Linked DNA regions of Lepisosteus oculatus. The protein of the gene in region 1 purifies or fractionates together with the protein of each later gene. This does not show direct contact. Links are inferred from orthologs where the notes say so. Each region holds a gene or a part of one and is shown on either strand. Other genes may lie near its edges.

Region 1 (11,100 bases):
CGGCGTGTGTTTGCAGGTCTATGTGTGTGTAAGTGCAACGGTATGTCTAGAAGGGGGAGTGTGCGAAAATGTGTTTGTGAAGATGTGTGTGTGTGGAGGGGTGTGTACCCCTGGTTTAAAGGCAGTCAGAGGAGGAGAGAAGCCCAGCAGAGACAGACATACAGTACACCCAGAGAGCTGAACTCAGGTAAGACTGTTTACTCACACCTGTGCCTTTACACAAGACCAGATGGCAGCACAGGAGAAAGTGATTCGTCCGGATTCTGTCTGTCTGGGGTGGACATGGAGCTCTTGATCCTGACTGGTGTGATGGGAGACTGTGAGGGGAGATCAGAGTCATTGCAGTAATGGTATGAGTAGTAACTGCTGTAGCACTTTACTGTAGACAGACTGCTGCAGGTTGGTTTAGTGTCGGTTATCTCACTGCTATGTGCTCTGTGCTTCATGCCTTGAACTCTGAGCTCTGTGCTTCATGGCGCATGCTCCAAGATGTGTGTCCCATGCTGTGTACTCTGTGCTTCAAGCCTAGTGCTCTGTCTTGTTGTGTCTCGTCCTGTATTCAGCTTCTGTACTCCAGGTGTGCAGTGTAATAGTTTTATATACAGGTGCCTCACACCCTGTGCTCTGAGCTGTGTGTTATCCTGTGTATCCTCTCTGCTTCTTGCACTGTGCACTGAGTTTTGTCCTCTGAGCTCTGTCTAGCTCTGAGCACTGTCTTGGCCCGTGTGAGTCCTGTGGGATCCAAGCTATATCTTGTCCTGTGGGATCCAAGCTATATCTTGTCCTGTGGGATCCAAGCTCCGTCTTGTCCTGTGGGATCCAAGCTATATCTTGTCCTGTGGGATCCAAGCTCCGTCTTGTCCTGTGGGATCCAAGCTATATCTTGTCCTGTGGGATCCAAGCTCCGTCTTGTCCTGTGGGATCCAAGCTATATCTTGTCCTGTGGGATCCAAGCTCCGTCTTGTCCTGTGGGATCCAAGCTCCGTCTTGTCCTGTGGGATCCAAGCTCCGTCGTCCTGTGGGATCCAAGCTCCTCTGAGCTCTGTGTGCGTGCCTTGTGTTCTGCATGGAGAGTGCAGCTCTTAGGGAAAACAGGCAGCCACTGGACTGCAGGACATTTCAGTCTGGAAGCTGCCAAACAGAACACAAGTAACGCACACTTTCATGACCTCTCGCCATGACGAGAACTAGCACCATGAACAGGGCAGTGATGTTCCCAGGAAGCCACAGTCCTCAGGCTGCTCGTCTCCCTGACCGCCTGCTGTTGTCGTGCAGGTGGTGCTCCAGAGTGATCTCGCCATGCGTGTGGTCGTTGTGCTGCTGTGTGTCCTGGGCACTGCGCTGTCAGCCTCGGTGAGTGTCTCTGTGTAGAACACGTGGGCAGACGCAGGACTGTTCACCCGAGAGGAAGCACTGAGAGACAACACATAAGTGTTTTTCATCGCCTCCTCCCTGCTCCCTTATCTTTCAGATCTTTCAGAAGAACGGTCAGCTGAGGCTGAGAAAGGTAACACTGCCCCCTTGTGGTTAAAAAGGTCCTAGCACATGCCTCTCCAGTGTAGCAGAGATACTGAAGACCTGGAACAAGTTAATTAATAATAATAATAATAATAATAATTGCTTACACTTATAAAGCGCTTTTCTGGACACTCCACTCAAAGAGCTTTACAGGTAATGGGGACTCCCCTCCACCACCACCAATGTGCAGCCCCACCTGGATGATGTGACAGCAGCCATAGTGCACCAGTACACTCACCACACACCAGCTATCAGTGGGGAGGAGAGCAGAGTGATGAAGCCAGTTCAGACATGGGGGTTATTAGGAGGCCATGATTGGTAAGGGCCAATGGGAAATTTGGCCAAGACGCCAAATTTGTGATCAGTTGCAAGTGATTTGGTCAATTAAACACTTTAGAAGTTATTTAACAGAAATAGTCAGAAATCAAGGACCAGAGTTCCTGTAATAGGGTACATACCTATTATTTGAGCAATTAATAAATTTATCTACCCAAAGATTAGAAACAGACAATTAAGGGCAACACATGAAAAAGACTGGGATCCTAGAGCCACAGGAGCGCGCGAGTGCTCAGAATCAGCCTGAAGGGGCCGCTGTGCCCAGTGAGGCCCTGCTGTGAGGGACAGATCCAGACACAAAGAGGCTTTGTGATGGACTAGAATAGAGAGCTGTGAGCCTGGCGGGGTGTTGGTTACTGGCTCTGCTGGGAGGGACAGGGAACACGGGGAGGGCACAGCATGCCTCTGCAGACCCCTACAAGACACCAGCCATGCCCACTGACAATTCCAGCAAAAACGAGCCTAGCTCTGGGGTGGGCACTGAGGCTGACCTTTCTCTCTCTCTGCTGTCTCCTGCTGTTGTGTGGCCAACAGGTCCGGACCCCCCCTGGGCAGCAGGGCTCCCCCACAGAGTCCCCGCTGCCTGGTCCCGGGGGCACCTCGAAATCCCCCACTCCAGCTCCCCCTCCTCTCTTCCCCGGCCCCACGGCACCACAGAACCCATTCATCCAGAATGAGCCTGGCCCCAATGCACCCCAATTCCCTTTCCCTGGGCCCGATGCACCCCAATTCCCCTTCCCAGGCCCCGATGCACCCCACTTCCCCTTCCCTGGCCCCATCCCAAGACTGGACACCCCACCAAGAGACCCCTCCCTCCATAACGGGCACCCCCCTCGGCCTCCCTGCACCCCACCCTTCTATAGGCCGTACTACTTCAATGCAGCACTGCCACACCCCCAGTACCTCCCTTACCCCTCCTTCATGGGCCCCCCGCCCCCCATCTTCTCAGCCTACCCCCCCTTCCCCCCAGGGCCCTTCTTCCCCGGGCACGCCCGGGCTGGGGTGGCATTGCCCCTCAACATGCCCCCGCTGCCCTCTGTGCCCAGGAGCAGGGTGAGGGCGGGCGCTGCCTCTGTCAGCCCCCCTCCCTCGCGGGCGCAGGGGGTGCGGGGTCTGTTCCCAGGGGGGGCAGGAGAAATGCGGAGCGGGGCAGGTGCTGGGAGATCGACCCTGCTGCCCCAGAGCCTGGTGAGCAACGAGAAGGGGCACAACGGGGACTCCGCACAGACCGTCTAGGTGAGAGGGCCCAGCTGGGGTGGGGCGGGGCAGGGCGGTGGGGTGGGGTAGGACAGGGTGGTGGGGTGGGGCCGGGTGGTGGGGCGGGGCAGGGCGGGGCAGGACAGGGCGGTGGGGTGGGGCCGGGTGGTGGGGTGGGGCGGTGCAGGACAGGGCGGTGGGGTGGGGCCGGGTGTTGGGGTAGGGTGGGGCGGGGCAGGACAGTGCAGTGGGGTGGGGCCGGGTGGTGGGGCGGGACAGGGCGGGGCAGGACAGGGCGGTGGGGCGGGGCAGGACAGGGCGGTGGGGTGGGGCCGGGTGGTGGGGCGGGGCAGGGCGGGGCAGGGCAGGGCGGTGGGGCGGGGCAGGACAGGGTGGTGGGGTGGGGCCGGGTGGTGGGGCGGGGCAGGGCGGGGCAGGACAGGGCGGTGGGGTGGGGCCGGGTGGTGGGGTGGGGTGGGGCGGTGCAGGACAGGGCGGTGGGGTGGGGCCGGGTGTTGGGGTAGGGTGGGGCGGGGCAGGACAGGGCAGTGGGGTGGGGCCGGGTGGTGGGGCGGGACAGGGCGGGGCAGGACAGGGCGGTGGGGCGGGGCAGGACAGGGCGGTGGGGTGGGGCCGGGTGGTGGGGCAGGGCAGGGCGGTGGGGCGGGGCAGGACAGGGCGGTGGGGCGGGGCCGGGTGGTGGGGCGGGGCAGGGTGGGGCAGGACAGGGCGGTGGGGTGGGGCCGGGTGTTGGGGTAGGGTGGGGCGGGGCAGGACAGGGCAGTGGGGTGGGGCCGGGTGGTGGGGCGGGACAGGGCGGGGCAGGACAGGGCGGTGGGGCGGGGCAGGACAGGGCGGTGGGGTGGGGCCGGGTGGTGGGGCAGGGCAGGGCGGTGGGGCGGGGCAGGACAGGGTGGTGGGGCGGGGCAGGGCGGGGCAGGACAGGGCGGTGGGGTGGGGCCGGGTGGTGGGGCAGTGTGATCAGTAGCAGCAGCAGTCTCACTAGTTCTGCTGATAGTGTTAGCAGTGCCCGTGTCTAACACTGTTGTGTCTCCTTTCACAGCTACTGACCAGCAAACAACAAGCACACTGTCATGCACACTCACACCCACACTCACTCTCACCCAGGAGCACACCCACACTCACTCTCACCCAGGAGCACACCCACACTCACACAGGTGCACACCCACACCCACACTCACACAGGTGCACACCCACACTCACTCTCACCCAGGAGCACACCCACACTCACACAGGTGCACACCCACACTCACTCTCACCCAGGAGCACACCCACACTCACACAGGTGCACACCTACACCCACACTCACACAGGTGCACACTCACACTCTTCTCCCTGCCCCGCTCACTTCCTCACTCCTCCTCAGCTATACCTGTGTACCTCTCCTCCTGACATGGGCACCAGCACCTGGGCCCGGGCTGGGCTGGGCCGGGTCAGCACTGGGATGGGAGAGTTGCTGTTGTAAGTGGTGCAGGTGGACCAGTAGGTGGTGCTCTACCTTCTGGACTCTGCCCTCTGGACAGGAATTTCCACATCAGTATTGTGGAAACTGTGCATTGTGAATGACTGTGGAACTGCTGTCCTTCTATGTAACAGATCCTGTAACTGATGAGACATTAAATCAATTAAATCAAAGTACTGCCTACTTGGTCATTTGGTCCTACTTGGCCAGCAGCCATATCACTCTGCAGCTCACAACTTGCAGCCCACTGAAGCTCAGCAGGTGTGAGCCTGGTCAGTACCTGGATGGGAGACCTCCTGGGAAAAACTAAGGTTGCTGCTGAAAGAGGTGTTAGTGGGCTAGCAGGGGGCGCTCACCCTGAGGTCCATGTGGGTCCTAATGCCCCAGTATAGTGATGGGGACACTATACTGTAAAAAGGCGAGGTCCTTCGGATGAGACGTAAAACCGAGGTCCTGACTCTCTGTGGTCATTAAAAATCCCAGGGTGTTTCTCAAAAAGAGTAGGGGTGTAACCCCGGCATCCTGGCCAAATTTCCCATTGGCTCTTACCAATCATGGCCTCCTAATAATCCCCCTCTATGAATTGGCTTCATTACTCTGCTCTCCTTCCCACTGATAGCTGGTGTGTGGTGAGTGTACTGGTGCACTATGGCTGCCATTGCATCATCCAGGTGGGGCTGCACATTGGTGGTGGTGGAGGGGAGTCCCCATTACCTGTAAAGCGCTTTGAGTGGAGTGTCCAGAAAAGCGCTATATAAGTGTAAGCAATTATTATTATTATATTTAAGATCTTGGGATACTTTTGTTTGTAAGGGGATTGTCCTGCATCAGTCCCACTCTGGGCTCGAACAGACTGGCCTCCCTGCTGACCCCTTAACCTGCCTGGAGCAGGAGCACAGGTCACTCCCACCCCTGGCCTCTGGACAGCGGGGTGAAGTGGGTTCCGTCTTATTCCGAAGGGCTTTGGGATCCTTTGAGATGAAACGTGCTGTACAAAGGCAGTTATTTTAGAATTGTTAATATTGTAAATAAGGCTTGTGGGGATCTGGAAGAAATTGTCACCAAGTTATTGATCCTGATCCTAGGATCAATTAACTCCTCTATTGTAATAGTTCTAATGCACAGCTCTCATATACCCTGGATCTTAACCACCGGACCAGCTGTCCCCCTGCTGTGACAGTCCCGTATCTTAACCACTGGACAAGTTCATTAATAAAATAATCGTCCCCTTAACAATTATTGTATAAATACCAGAAAGGTCGCTTAATCTAGACTCTTATTTTTCTAACTAGTTAAAGTTTAAAGTAAGTTATTCCACGTGTGACAACTATGAACTTCGCAAAGCCGAAGACGAAAACCCTCCTCTCATTTCATTTCCCGGTGGAACGGCATTTGTGTCTCCTTCCGAGCGGGCAAAGAAGAACCCGCCTCTTACCCCAACAATCAAACCAATCCGATAGGAGTACTTCCGTGATGGACACATGAATAAGCCAATAGAAAGGGGCTACGGAGAGTTTTCATGTGATTGAAGATCACTTTAGCCAATAGGAGCCTCAGCTGGCCCGGAGGCGGTAGTTCCGGATGCTTGTATAAACCAAGCGGCCTTGCCATGTGTGTTGTTTCAGCGGCGGATTGAGGCTGTTTGGGGTTTGAGCTGAGAGGTGAGAAACGGGAAATTCGGGGTTTAGTTTGTTCCAAGTCGCAGTTTTTCGTTTTGCTGGGGTTGTGGTGTCTCTGGGATTTATTTAGGAGGAGGGTAATTGAAATTTTATTGCGGCACTAGTCCACGAATCGTTGTGTTTTTCTGTGCGAGTCGGTGAGAAAGGAGGGGGGACGGCAGTTCGGTTTGCCGGCTTCATTGAGTCCGGTACCTGCTTTTCCGTCCGGGCCGAGCCGGGCCGGGCGGGTCGTTCGCAGGAGGGCCGGGGACAGCCGTGAGCAGCCCCGCTGTCGGGGCAGGCCGGCGGGCCGGTGTTGCGGGCCGGCGGAAGGAGCAGACCCGACCTCCCATTGTTCGCTGCGGAGCGTCATGGCAGCTGCAGCCCGGCCGAGCGCTTGCTGTTGTCCCGGGCTCGCCTGCCGCTGCCGACCAGCTGCTGTTTCTCCTCCTCCTTCTCCTTGAAAGGTGACTTGTTCCCGGCGGCGTTGCTCGCCTGCTGCGGGGTGAACAGTGCTTCTGGACGCGTTGCTCCGGGGTCTGGGCCGAGATGCCGAACCGGGTCAGGGGTTGTGACCTCCCGGCGCCGGTGACCTGTGGCTTTTAGCTACAACGTGTTTTGGCGTTTCCGAAAGTCCGTCGTGCGAAGTCGACTTTTGCTACTTAAAACTTTGCCTTTCGTGTTTGAAAGGAACGCTTTAGCAAGAGGTTTTTTCTTTCTTCCACGCGTTGCCTTTTCTTTTTAAGGGCGCATTTCTCATTGGTTAGATAAGTATTTGTTTTTTTCCGCGCTCGGGCCTTCGCGGCCCGCTTTCAGTCTTTGTTCGGTTCGGGCAGAGGGCACTTCCTCCCCCGGTCGGGGCGCTCAGGAAAGAGCGGTGCTCGGGCTGCGGCCTGTCGCTTTGTGCCCTCGCCCGGGCCGAGCGGCTCTGCCGTTTTAGAGCCTTTCCTTCGCTTCTGAAACGCGCTGCTGGGGAAGGGTTTATCTGTCCAGGCGTTTCGAGTATCGGTCTTCAGCGCTCGCAGTGGTGTTGAAATCGAAACCCTCCGCGGGCGGGAGGGCGACGGCTGGTGACCTGTCCGGGGGGTCCTGATACTTGTTCTGCAGAAAGTGCTGGACAGGCAGTCAGCCCTCAAATAACCGCCAAGTGAGACTGCTGACGCTGTTGGACGGGTTTTAGACTGTGTAGGGGTCAAGTATAGCCGGCCGGCAGCGCTCTCGTGTGCTGTGTAGACGGGGTGCACTGAGTGGCTTTCAGTGTCTTGAGAGATGGAGGCCTCTCCTCGCTGGGGCTCAGTGTGTGTCTTGAGCGTGGTGTGGGGATGATGAGGTCTTCTCCTCTCGGTGTGTGTCTTGAGCGTGGTGTGGGGATGATGAGGTCTTCTCCTCGCTGGAGTGCCTGCTCTCAGGTGTGGGGCTCTGCTCTAACGATCTCCTCGCTTGCTGCCCCCTCCCCCCCAGCATGGCAGAGAACGACGTTGAGAATGAGCTGCTGGACTACGAGGAGGATGAGGAGCCGCAGACCGCGCCGGAGAGCGCCGCGCCTGCCGGCAAGAAGGAGGTGAAGGGCTCCTACGTCTCCATCCACAGCTCCGGCTTCCGGGACTTCCTGCTGAAGCCCGAGCTGCTGCGGGCCATTGTGGACTGCGGCTTCGAGCACCCCTCCGAGGGTGAGTGCGCCGCCCCGCTCCGCGGCTGGGGGGGGGGTGGGGGGATTGTGAATCCCGCGGATCCAGGTGACCCGTCTCTCGTCCTTGCCTCTCCCAGTGCAGCACGAGTGCATCCCGCAGGCGATCCTGGGCATGGACATCCTGTGCCAGGCGAAGTCGGGCATGGGCAAGACGGCCGTGTTCGTGCTGGCCACCCTGCAGCAGATCGAGCCTGTGGACGGACAGGTAGGTGTCCCGGGCCGGCTGTCCGTGTGGCCACGAGGCGGCCAAGAGGAGCTGGTCTTCACTTGCAAACCACTGCAGGGGAGCAGGCCAGTGCACCTCTCCACCAGACTCTGTCAGGGCTCGGGTTGGAGACGCAGGCAGCCAGATCACTGGCTGCAAACAGCCGTTTAAGCCACTTCTGTACCAGGAGTGTTTGCAGTAGAGCAGTGTTAAGAGTAAATGGTGCTTCACGTCCACTGCACTTCCTAAATCTAAGAATTACCACCTGGATGATGCTTCAAAGCACCAAGAGGCTACAAAAACATTAGGTAGTCACTCATTCTGAGTGCTGTTACTCTTATCCTCTTAGGTAGTAGGCACCAGTATCCTCTGTCATTGTGTTGACAGCATGTGCTAGAAACTATACATAAAAAAAATAGATAAGGAGAACCCAGTAAAACAACACACAAAAGGATATACTTTTTCATTAATTTATTGATCAAAATGATCCAACATCAAATGTCTTTGTCAGAAGAGGTACGAACCTATGCTTTCAGTTACTGGTGTGACCCCTTTAAGCAGCAGTGACTTCAACCAAACGTTCAGGGTAACTGTTGATCGGTTCCGCACATCGGCTTGGAGGAATTTTGGCCCATTCCTCCTTACAGAACTGCTTCATCTCAGTGATGTTGGCGGACCCGCTTCAGGTCCTGCCACAACAATTCTATTGGATTAAGGTCTGGACCAAAGTCCAGACCTTAATCCGATAGAATTGTCAAAACGCAAAATTTCTTCTGCTTCAACCATTCTTTGGTTGGGTGACTTGTGTATTTAGGGTCGTTGTCTTGCTGCAAGACCCACCTTCTGTAGAGCTTCAGTTCACGGACGGACATGATGTTTCTCGTTTAAGCCAAAAAGTTATTTTCGACTCATCCGTCCACAGAACATTCTTCCAGTAGTTTTCTGGCTCACCCAGGTGGTCTTTAGCGAACTTTGAACGGGCAGCAATGTTCTTCTTGAAGAGTAGTGGCTTCCTCCTTGCTGTCCTCCCATGCACACTATTCTCGTTCAGCGTTTGCCTGCTGGTGGACTCAGGAACACTGACATTAGCCAGTGTAAGAGAGGCCTGCAGATCCTTGGGCGTTACTCTGTTCGTTGTGATCTCCTGGAATATTAGACGCTTTGCTCTTGGAGTGATTTTTGTTGGATGACCACTCCTGGGGAGAGCAACAATGGTGTAAATTTTCTCCATTTGTACGCTATCTGCCTAACAGTGGATTGGTGAAGCCCAAGGTCTTTAGAAATAGTTTTGTAACCTTTCCCAGCGTGATGAGCATCGAGAACTCTTTTTCTGAGGTCCTCGGAAATCTCCTGTGATCGAGGCCTGGCATGCATTCACAAACCTGTCTGGTGAAGACCAGACTTTGGTCGTGAAGACTCAGGTTTTTTTAAATAGGGCGCAGCCGCCCAAACTCACACCTGATTGTCATCCCATTGATTGACACTCCTGACTAATTATCCCCTTAACTGAGCTGATAATCCTAGAGATTCACATACTTTTTCTGACAAAGACATTTAATGTTGGATCATTTTGATCAATAAATGAATGGAAAAGTATATCCTTTTGTGTGTTATTGGCTTCTCCTTATCTATTTTTATGACTTGGATGAAGATCTGATCACATTTTAGGTGCAGAAATTCTAAAGGGTTCACAAACTTTCTAGCACCACTGTATGTGCGAACATCTCGTTTTTCTGCACCAAAGTTTTGTTTTGCATCAGTTGTATCCATCTGTAAAGTCGACTGGATGGTTTGTGTACTCGGAGTACGTGTCGCACAGACTTTAGCGGCTCAGTGAGGCGAAAGGAAGATTTCCGCAGCACATAGACAGGGAAGCACGTTCTGACAGGCCGGTTCTGTGATTATAGCAGTGACTTCAGTGGTGGTCGGCCATGATCGGCTCCCCCGTCAGGAGGCTGGTGAGGGCCGTGGCGGCCCCCGCGCCCAAGTGTCCGCGGCCATGTTGACGGTGTCCCCTTCTGTCCCCAGGTGGCGGTGCTGGTGATGTGCCACACGCGGGAGCTGGCCTTCCAGATCAGCAAGGAGTACGAGCGCTTCTCCAAGTACATGCCCACCGTCAAGGCGGCCGTGTTCTTCGGGGGGCTGTCCATCAAGAAGGACGAGGAGGTCCTGAAGAAGAACTGCCCGCACATCGTGGTGGGCACGCCGGGGCGCATCCTGGCGCTGGTCCGCAACAAGACGCTCAGCCTGAAGAACGTCAAGCACTTCGTCCTGGACGAGTGTGACAAGATGCTGGAGCAGCTGGGTGAGTGCCGGGGTCGCAGTGGGGTCAGCCACGATGGTGGGAGAAGCGCACACCCCTCTCCACTGGGGAGTTCTGCCGGTGTTTTGCCCCCCAGTTACGTGTCTGAAGGAAGTCTGCAAGCCCGGGCCTTTGATAGCTGTCCCTGAAGTGGCATGTTGCTGTCGTGTGTAGGATTTTGAAGGGGAAGGGCCCTTCTCCTGGATACGACCAGGAATCCAGCTCGCTTTCTGTTGCGCTTCTAGTCTCCTGTTTGTCTGAAGTCCAGGGTTATGGATAGGGTGCCCACCCATTAAATAATCCAGGACGGGACACTCCTGCCTGGACAGGAGCCTTCATGCCGATTGGAAGTCACCCCGGACGTGGGGGCGCCCTGAATCGTGGGAATTGGTTCTCTCGGCCCACAGAGACCTCGGCTCCCTTTTGTGTTTCTTAACATTGGTTAGCTGTTGGAAACTTGGAGCATCCCATTGACAACAGACACCTGAGCATGCTACACTAATCTATAGCCTGGCTTGGGATTGCAGTCTCCCCCCCGCCCTTCCCAGAGGGATTTAGGAGAGGTGCAGGTACTCCTGGGGATGAGGGGACAAAATGTCCTTCGAGCTCGCTCTGCTCGCAGTCCTGTGCGACCCTCTGGTGGTTGCGGTGGGCGTTGCACTCTGCTTACCTCTCCCTGCCTGTGTGCGTCTGTGCTGCAGATATGAGGCG
Region 2 (10,505 bases), on another chromosome or scaffold:
CCAGTTTCCCAGCTAACACTAAAAAGCACAGGGCACTGAAATGTTAAAGGCCAGGACCTAAGGTTAAAAGGTCTGTTACAATTGCTGCTCAGAATTTTTCAACTTGAGTTTCTGCAGTTAGAGTGCCACCTACAGATCAACCACAGGCATTGCATTGCTGAAATCTTGGGGATGATATCGGTGAGAAAAAATACTACAAATTAATCAGGAAATGTACAATAACATTAAAATCAATATTAAATTAACTGCCCATATTAAAATCAAACAGTCCCAATACGATTACATATAGAACATGGGAGGAGCGGTGGCTCTTTGTCTAAGGATCTGTGCCTGTGACTGGAAGGTTGCCGGTTCAAATCCCGCAGCCGGCAGCGGAATCCTACTCCATTGGGCCCCTGAGCAAGGCCCTTAACCCTAACTGCTCCAGGGGCGCTGTACAATGGCAGATCCTGCACTCTGACCCCAAGCTTCTCTCCCTGTCTGTGCGTCTGTGTCTCATGGAGAGCAAGCTGGGGTATGCGAAAAGACGAATTCCTAATACAAGAAATTGTATAGGGTTAATAAAGCAACATTATCATCATCATTATTATTATTATTAGAACAGAATGCAGAAAAAAAAACCCAGCTGTATCAGGTGTCTTTGTGTATCACATGAATGTAGAAAGCCGGTATTTGTAACATGGGCATGGAAGTGCTTGTCAACCCGTTTCTTGTTTTGAAGAGTTGACACAGATCCACGGACACGCACCAGTCCCCCTCACCTTGAAGACGGCGCTCTCTCCGAATTCCCTCTGTGGCAGTCTTCCTGGCTCAAATGTCTACAGGACGCCTTCCCAGAAGAGTGAGTGTTTGACCATGGTGTTTTTCCCCTCCAAGTCACAAATTTCCACCCTCTGTGCTGGGGTCTTTAAGGAGCAGTGTTCATTTTCTTCCTTTCACCTTCTATCTGATGGAGAAAGCCTTCCATAATTTAATCATAATCCCGTAAATTTTCCACTTGGGACGGAGCTACACCACTCCCTTTCTCTTTCACTAAAGCACGGAATGTACGTTTTCTTCAAACACGACTACTTGGCTTCATCCACATTGCTTCTAGAGCAAAATAAATGGCTGCTTTTAATCTTGAAGAAAGGGAGTCCTTCTCCCGCTCTCAAACTGAAGTAGCCTGGCTATTTCTCCAGCCCGTAATCGCACGGACCTCCGCCCTACAGACACTCCAGCAGCCAGGGTCCCGTCTCTCTACCTCTGGGGCCGACAAGCTGTTTCCAATACAGTCTGTGGACCTACAGGACCAACAAGAAGAAGAGACATTACAGACTCTTCCTTACACAAAAGGAGAATGAAGTGCACTGCACAGGGTTTGTGAAGCCCAAGAAAAACTATAACAGACGTTTTAGGCATCAACAATTTTAAAACCACAACATCCTCACATTTACCATCGAACAAGGGAACTACCTTTCAATTCTCCCACATCTGACTAGGAGTCATATTTCACTTCCAATACAGCCCTTGCACCAAGCCAAAACATGGCATGTATCAGTGGGTGTACAGATGTAGATTTTTGTAAAAAATGTACTGATGATCTGCAAAAGCAATAGCATTTTTCTCAGGTTGTGCTCTTCTCTTGCAATCTTACACAAAGAGGATGAGACAAGGGATATGTGCAGCATCTGATATTGGCTTACTTTAGCACTTCCTATGCTCATATATTGGAACCACCGATTGCTTATTCAGGCTCACAACTCCATATCCTGCGACGCACAAGGAGAAAAAGGAGCCAAGACACACTCTTCCGGGATGTGGCGATCTCCACACTGACTTACAGGGGAGTCGGCACCGATTGGTGCAGCTCTGCCACTCTCACTGATGTAACTGCAGGATGGCAGGTGCGCGGCAAGTCATATGGCTTTTAAAACACTTAAGATTAAAGAGGATTATTATTTTTTTCAAATGTGTTAAAACTGGGTGACACGGTGGAGCTCTGGTGAGCATTACTGCCTCACAGCGCTGGGGTCCCGAGTTCAACTCCCAAGGCGCTGTGCTCCCACAGCCTACTGGTACTGTAGGTCAACTGGCTTCAGGGAAAGCTGACCCTGGCGCGAGTGAGTGTGTCTGCCCTGGAAGAGACTGGTGTCCCATCCAGGGTGTACCCTGCCTTGCGGCAGATGCTTGCTTGGATTGACTTGCCGTCTCCCCGGGACACAGAATTGGAAGAAGCAGTTAGAAAATACAATGCCTGGATCAATAATATACAAAAAAAGTAAAATACAGAAAATACAAGTAAATTTCTAGAGTCGAACTTGCATTCATTTACAACCACCATGTTTGTGGCTTTCAATTGGTAACCGTTTCCAATAGATGTAGTTGCTTTAAGAGTATAAAAGCAGCAGTTCAGAGCTTCTCGCACTGAAACAGTCTCAGACGGTGATGCAAAAGTAAAGCAGCTGACACTGTACATTTAAACCCAACATTAAAGTCATCGAGGGGACCAGAAAGCTTTCAAGAAATGAAGAGGGGAGTGGTACGTGCTGATAACACATAGCCGCAACTACAGTAATAAACGTTTTATTCCTACAGATAAAGTGTGACCTACACAAGTGACCGTTTTTCTCGGCAGTAATCCTAAAGGTTGAAATCTATCACACATTCCCACGCCTAGCTAACTCCACGTCCATGAATTAATATAAGTCTGACCTGATCTGTTCGAGCCCTAGAATATGGGTTGGCAACCAGTACTTCTCCCACCGTTTGTTTGATCAAACACACTCACTGTACTGTAGCTACTGCACACACACACACAAGTTGACGTCATATCATTCCCCATACAATCGAAAGCAGACACACGAAAAACGACGATTAAAGCGGCACGTTTTTGCCATTTGAGGGAAGTGAGTGACAGGACTAATTTATTAAAACTAACAAGCCGAGGGGAAGTCCTTGAACGCCCATCTGAAGCACTTTCCAAACCATTTAGAGAAACCCCTAATCTAACTGCTTGACGACAGTTATGTCGCGTAGAAATGAGTATCACTCTTACTAGAGTTGAAGAAATCCCCATGGAAAAGGCACAAAATAAGGACATTTACTAACACTGACATCTTAGCTCGTCCTGGAAAAAAAACCCTCGTGAAAAACAAGACACGCGAAACAAGTTATGGATAACTACGCTGAACATTAAACAAATGTGCCACATAAGCGTGTATTTAAAAAACCCACAGTCTTTGACAGCTTGACCTGTCCTGGGTGCAGACGCCTGCACTGCTGAACTTCTCAAGACAAGGCGGTGACTTCACGGAACTGCGCCGAAATGAACCACTTGAGCAAAGCGGCCTCCCACTGCTGTACAGGGGTCCCCGATCACCCCCCTTTCTCTGGGGAACCGTTACAAACCCAAGCAGCCGCCGCACTGGTGGGTTTAAACCCGTCTTACCTGCCAGGAGCGAGAATATTCCGTGCTCACTTCTCTGCACTGGCGTCTGACGAGTCAAGAACGTCCGGACATCACGAACTCGGGGGTGAGCGCCGCCTCCCCGGGCGCCCCCTAGTGACAGGGAGGTTTATGACCTCGGTGTTCTGCACAACCACACCTGAATAAATAACTTCTCTGTGCAGGACACTGGTGCTAAAAACGCCTGCCCGGCCTCCCTCTGGTTTTTGATCCGCCCGAGCTCTTAGTTTCTGAGGCGAAGTGCCGCCTTTAATTCAAAAGCTTTACCGGATTATATCTCTTCAGCCAGTTTCCCGGCTCTGCGTTCCACAAATGCTATGGCTGCAGTTGTGTCCACATAAGGAGATCTAGCAGACAAGAACGCAGCCCATTCATCCATACATCATCAGTTCGGATATTAAGTGGGTCCTCTGTTTTTGTCTTCCTTAACAGTTCTCTGCAGGAAGAGGAATTACATTATATGCAGTCCTCATACCACAAAAAAATAAATGATTCTCCCCATGTCCTGCAGAGAGGTTCGGTTATTTACATCCCGCACTTCTGGGGAAGAGCACGTGAAGAACTAGGAAAGTATCTGAGGGTCGATACCACTTATTAACCCTAAAATCTTACCAGCTGGAAACAACTTGTCCAAAAAGGCAGCTACAGATCAATTAGCCTGATTGATTAAAAGCTCCGTTAAAAAAAAAAAAACGGGACACCTGGTCCTCCACACACAGGCTGAAAACCAATGATGCAGAGGACCGGTTAATGACAAGATATTAAACCCGGAAATGTAAGGATTCAATCCGAGTACAGGTAGTCCCTCCCAACTCACCAGTTGTATTTTAAATTCTTTGCACTGATGGCTAAGTAATTAGACTTATGTTTATTTTCTTGCTGTAACAACGTAGTATGCTTTATTTTGTTTTGTCTTTCTGGGCATTCTGTCGAAACTGAAATCCTTTTTGAGAGGCATTACGAAAAGCAAATAGTTTTGAAAACCACTGTGTTCGCCCATCCTGTGTTGGAAAGTATCTAGCTGCCCTGTTCTACTCCAGAAACACGGAAACACGAAGCTTACAGCAGAACTACACCATAAACGGGACACAGGACCATCTCTGGGTACGCAAACAGACGAACCCATGTTGAGTTGGGACCAATGTCTTTGGGATAGAGTCTTTATTATCTCCAAGGGGCAATTTCTTTTAAAGCGGCAGATGTAAAACAAACACAAAAACAATACACGTAAACACATGCATGCACAAAAAAACATCCGTTGAGCAAGGTCGTGACAGATTATGAACAGATGAAGATAACGCCTTCTATGACGAATTACAACACTAAAGCAACTAACTGTAAAGCATAATGCTATAAATCCAATGAATAGCGCAGCCGTGTTAAAATCATAATTGTAAAATAAACTCTAATAAAATGAACATTTTGTTTCTTGCGTTTCATTGAACATCAAACGATTGAAATAAAGGAGAAACAGTGTCCAGAAAAGTGAGCCAAAAATAACAGAACAATATGTTGCCAGAGACCATCGCAAATCTGAGCACAACAAGCTAATACTGTTACAAACATCAGCTGTGCTCTATTAATATGAGCATCCACAGTTTGCATGAATGATGCGTGCACGTCAGGTCCTGTGTACTTACGTCACACACCGGGGCGCGAGAGCCTGCTGAGTTTTGCTCGTGGCTGCGTCTGGAAGGCAATTGGTCTGTTGTCACACCGGTAGCTCCCCGCTGACTGCGCATGCGTGAGCGTGCTCACCCGTATGTTGACGTCGCACGAAAAGCCCGAACCGATCGCGCGGGAGCCCTGCGTCTGCGCGTTGTGAGTCTTGCGAGTCTTCCCCATCTTCCCTGGCCGAGTCGCTCTTGTTGGGAAGTGAGCAGTCGCGCTATTGCCCGGGCGGCCGTTGGTCCTCAGCGCCGAGTTCTGGAACCTTCCTGCGCAGGGAGCGCTCGGCCACACGGGCCGCTCGTCCGGAGAAAGCGTGCCGCAGGCCGAGGCCGGGATCGGGCAACAGGCATAGCAGGGCTTTGCGCCTCTATACCCACGCTCATGGCGGTGACGGTGGAGGAGCTGTATCGTAACTATGGGATCCTGGCGGACGCCAAGGACAGCGTCGCCCAGGTGAGGGAGCTGCGGCCCGGGGCGCGGGGTGGGCCCGGAGGCGGCCTCGCCGCTCCCGCCGGCTGTGCGCTGCTGGGCCCGTCCGCCGCGCCGAGGCGAGAGCAGGCCGCCGCGGAGCCTGCCTCCCGTGTCGGTGCTGTGGGAGAGAAAGTCGCCAGTGGGGGCGGAGGAGGCCGGGGCCGGTGTGCGGCTTGCCCAGCAGCAGGCCGGTGCACGGAGAGAGAGAAACTTACGGGCCGTCTTGCTCCGAACTAGGGCTGATGAGAGTCGCCCCTGACTGTTTCTAGTGCCACAACACTTCACCTTTCGCTAATGGGTTATTGTGCCGGTATTTTGATATGTTTTTAATCAACCACCTTTTTTTTTCTTTTGTTGGGTATACAGTACAAGTCCCAGCTTACATTAGGGCAGAAAGGAAGTAGCCAAATACAGAATCTTAAGTGTTGATAATATTTCTGGCTTACGTGATTCAACGTTTCGGTTCAGCCAGTTCAATTCAGTGTCTGGTAGCGTGAATCTGGGACGTTAAATGCTGTGGTTTTCAAGAAGGTCATGCCCCTTTGTTCTTAAGTGCAGTTCTCGATGTTACAATAAAAAAAATATATATCCAGGTTAAGGTTTTCATTTGCATATGAACAAAATTGTTGATTGAATGCATCCCAGTAAAGTAAGTTCACGGTTTTCATAGGCTGTCGTGTTTAATCTTTCTTCTCATCTCTCAGAACAAAATAATTGTTCTGTGCTGTGAAGATGGCAGCTCAGTTGTTTCGTAGCTGAAGTAGATCAGGGGTTCATATAATGTCAATTAATGTTAATGTTTTTTTTAATGTTTCTTTATTAGCCCTACACAATTTCTTGCATTAGGAATGCATCTTTTCGCATACCCCAGCTTTTCTCTATGGAGACACAGAGACAGGGAGAGAAGCTTGGGGTCAGAGTGCAGGATCTGCCATTGTACGGCGCCCCTGGAGCAGTTAGGGTTAAGGGCCTTGCTCAGGGGCCCAACGGAGTAGGATTCCTCTGCCGGCCGTGGGATTTGAACCGGCAACCTTCCAGTCACAGGCGCAGATCCTTAGCCACAGAGCCACCGCTATATAGCATACAGCAAAAACGTTAAAAATATTTTGTAACTTGTAATCTAATTTTCACTTCTGCCTGGTGCAGTTTTAAAGCTCGAGATGGCAAATCCTGTCCTTTGCCTGAGTCTGGTTGTGTGGTCATCTTGAAGGCCGTTTTCCGGGGCCCTTCTTGGAGAATAAAATCAGTGTTTAAATTGAACGTGCTCGCTAGCTTACTGCTGCTGTACATGCCTGCTTAGTATTGTTGATGGTTCTGCAGAGCTAGGTCTTGGCAAGTAAGTTTGCTGTAATGTGACTACAAAGGCTGTAACAAGCAACTATTGCAGCTTCACAGCCAGAATTGGGATTGGGAATGGATTTCACAGTGTCAGCTTTAGGACCTGGGGTGCTGTCTGTGTGGAGTTTGTATATTCTCCCTTTGCTCCCGTGGGTTTCCTCCCACAGTCCAAGGACATGCTGGTGGGTTAATTGGCCCTGGTGTGTGTGTTGGTGTCTGTGTGTGGACTGGCGTCCCATCCAAGGTGTTCCCTGCCTTGAACCAGTTTCTTGCAAGGATAGACTCCGGTTTCCCCGTGACTTTGACTTGGAAGGAGCGGTTGAAAATGGATGGGATGCTCGCCCACGGTACATGTGCTGTATGGTTTGTGACGTCTGTGTAGTAACAAGCCCCTCTCCCCGCAGCACAAGGATGCGTACCAGGTGATCTTGGACGGGGTGAAGGGAGGCCCGAAGGAGAAGCGCCTGGCCGCGCAGTTTATTCCCAAGTTCTTCAAGAGCTTCCCCGAGCTGGCGGACGCTGCCATCAACGCGCAGCTCGACCTCTGCGAGGACGAGGATGTCTCGGTAAGAACAGTAAAACTAGCTGCAGCTCGGCATGCCCTTCTGAGCCTCATCACCTGAAAAAATTAAAGGCGTAAAACAAGTGCAGAGTGATGGCAGAATATTTCTGGAGGCTTGCACTAGTGCTCTTTCACAGATTGATGTTTACAGTGTGGGGGTGAATGAGGTAAATGGTACCCTCCCTTGTGACGTGCAGTTCATTTCAGTTTCTGTTTTCCTCTTTCCTGTCTAGATCCGGCGCCAGGCCATCAAAGAGCTCCCTCAGTTTGCTGCTGGAGAGAATCTCCCCAGGGTGGCAGACATATTAACACAGCTTTTACAGACAGGTACACATCCAGAGCAGCTTTCAGTTCCACCTGCGCCTTGGTCCCTGTCAGTGCCACAGTCCCGTACATTAGACGGCTTTATCGTTTTTGTCTTGAAATGTTTTTTTGTACACCATTTTCCTGTATATTCCCCCCCCTTAATTGTGTGGTGTGTTAGATTTAACCATTGGCTAGCAACGTTGCACTTAGCGCACACCCTCTTGGTTTGAGTAAACTCGACTGGCCGATATATTGATTAACTAGGAGAGGATTTGAATAGTCAAGCAAGTCTTTTTTTTCTCTCCAGTGTTAACTAGTAATTTATTGCGTTTTCTGTCAACAGATGACTCTGCAGAGTTTAACCTGGTAAACAATGCATTGTTGTCCATATTCAAGATGGATGCCAGAGGTAGGATTACGTGATTCACTAAATCAATTTATTCTTTTGTACTCACCCCTTTAATGGTGGAATGGCGGCATCTTAGAGGATGTGGACTTTGGGATTAAAAACCGCTGCTAACTAATACTATAGTCTCTTCCTTAAATAACTTTTCTTCATCATGTTAATCAGAATTTAGAAGAGTTTTTAAAGTTTGGGCTGTGAGTTTGAGGGACTGGTCCTTGACATCAACATAAACGTCCAGAGCTATTTCATTTCTTTCATTTTTGAGTCAGTCTCTTATCTCTGCCACTGTGTCCCTGTAGGGACGCTGGGGGGCTTGTTCACTCAGATCCTGCAAGGGGAAGACATCGTCAGAGAGAGGGCCATCAAGTTCCTCTCCACCAAACTGAAGACTCTGCCAGAAGAGGTGCTGACCAAGGAAGTGGAGGATTACATCTTCACTGAGTCCAAGAGGGTAAGTGTAGGGCCACATGCCTGACAGTAATCTGATTAAATAACGGGAGCAATAATTGAACTAGATTAGACAGTGCATCTCAGACTCTGAACCATTACAGGAATTAGATTTCAACATACTGCTTCCTTTTAAGTACTTTTCTATATGTAGAAATCCTTGATGGCATCATTCTTATAATTACACAGTTTAAAATTAAAATCTTGATATATGTCCTGCGGAGTTTGTAATGAATATTATTTTCTTTCTCCTTGTCAAGATGAATGAAATTCTAGAAACGTTTGGTTACATTTTTTGAGTTTCTCACATTACAATATTTAACTCCTGCAGATTGATGCTTTCGAATTTTATAACGTATATTATTCAGTGGGCTTTTTTGCTCCTAACATTACGGCTCGTGTGTCAATATTTACTGTTGTAAGTAGCAAAAGCATGTAGGTTAGTGGAGCTGTTGCTGCTGTTGAGATGTTTGTGTGTGAAAACTGAGGCTGTTTCTAACTTATAGCCTTAGTTGTGTTCTTGTGGGTTTGTTTCCTCGAAAAGCTCTGCTTTCTGGACAAAGGAGCCTAATAGTGTTTGACTGGCCTGGTCACTTCATAAAAGTAAAAAATGTAGAGAATGTCTTGCCTGTTTTGTATACCCAAAAGGACTGTGTGCATTGTACTTCTTTCGTTATTAAATAATTCTCAGAAAGATAAATCAGGGATATCATTTTAACAATACGCTTGAGTTGTAAACATAAAGTGTTTCTTTCAGTCTCTGAAGATATCAGTAATGACTTTTGCAGGGTGGAGCTTTTAATTCTCAGTTCAGTCCAACATGGCTACTAAATTGACACTCTGTACAAATTCAATTACATGCAATACAATGGCTTCATTTTTCTAGACAATAGTTGTATTTGCCATTAGAAGTTCTTCACCATTTGCATTCACTATTTACATATCAACAGTCTATCGATTGGGGGGAACCGTTTAGCCCTTGTTGTGTAAACGTGGGTCCTGCCCGGCTCTTGAACTGTGAATGTCCGATCGTTCATGGGGGCCGTTTCGGGCACAAGGCTTATTGTCCTGTGTGAATCTTTAGCCACTGTGGAAGGCCCACGGTCCCTTCCATCTGTCATTCACAGTGGAGAAGCCCCACCGGCAAACACTTAGGTCCTGATTCCCCACCCCGTGTTGAAAGAGTTGAAATTTGCAAATAACCCTCCAGCTAATAATAATCATTTACTTACTTCTACCATAAGGTATTAACTAAATAAGGGGGCAAATATCATTAAACCTAGTGTGTAACACTACCATGAAAGTCATTCCACCTTTGTCATAATTGAAAGTTTAATGAATAATTTGAAAGAAATGTTCTTCTCTTCAAAACATGGAGTTGGTGGGGGAGGGTCACATGACCGCAGAGGCGTTTCCCGAGAAGCAGAAGAGGCTCATCAGTAATGAGGGATGTAGGCTAGGGCAAGTGTTCAATGCAGATGAAACAGGCTTGTTCTGGAAGAAAATAAGGAAGCAAACACCAGCATTAAAGGTGGACTGATGATGCCACAGTAATGTGGCTGGTCACATAATTAAGCCAGGCTTGCCCATTTGTTGTCTGTCAAGTCATAAGGCCTGCATGAGTGTGCATATGTTTTTGGACTGCTTGCGTAAGTGCTGTGTGCTTATGGTCAGATGGGTAGGATAGGGCTCACTTGCTAGTACAAGGACTTCAGTTCGCCTTCAGTGCATGAAATTTGAAATTCAGCTGCCCCGTCCTGCAAAATTTATTTTTCACATTACAGCCCAGTTCTAGCCCGGTGACCCTTGTTAACAGGTAATCGAATCCTCTGAAGTAAATTGGTAAATGTTGACAC

Evidence for each region. The genes of interacting proteins can lie anywhere in the genome.
Region 2: the proteins of ddx39ab (region 1) and api5 fractionate together in Homo sapiens (co-fractionation; 3 studies listed by BioGRID, with this or other methods). This does not show direct contact. The link is inferred for Lepisosteus oculatus from reciprocal best matches to the Homo sapiens genes DDX39A and API5.

What each region holds. Positions count from the first base shown.
Region 1 is NC_090706.1:13,740,196-13,751,295, reverse strand, and holds the start of ddx39ab (DEAD (Asp-Glu-Ala-Asp) box polypeptide 39Ab), read left to right. Parts: upstream 1-6,091; 5' UTR 6,092-6,195; intron 6,196-7,653; 5' UTR 7,654-7,654; coding exon 7,655-7,862; intron 7,863-7,959; coding exon 7,960-8,087; intron 8,088-10,115; coding exon 10,116-10,392; intron 10,393-11,090; coding exon 11,091-11,100. Other genes in the region: uncharacterized protein, read left to right, coding at 1,300-1,353, 1,472-1,507, 2,389-3,090. UniProt on the Homo sapiens protein: Helicase that plays an essential role in mRNA export and is involved in multiple steps in RNA metabolism including alternative splicing. Regulates nuclear mRNA export to the cytoplasm through association with ECD.
Region 2 is NC_090716.1:16,206,153-16,216,657, reverse strand, and holds the start of api5 (apoptosis inhibitor 5), read left to right. Parts: upstream 1-5,188; coding exon 5,189-5,572; intron 5,573-7,332; coding exon 7,333-7,494; intron 7,495-7,723; coding exon 7,724-7,817; intron 7,818-8,139; coding exon 8,140-8,205; intron 8,206-8,501; coding exon 8,502-8,653; intron 8,654-10,505. UniProt on the Homo sapiens protein: Antiapoptotic factor that may have a role in protein assembly. Negatively regulates ACIN1. By binding to ACIN1, it suppresses ACIN1 cleavage from CASP3 and ACIN1-mediated DNA fragmentation. Also known to efficiently suppress E2F1-induced apoptosis.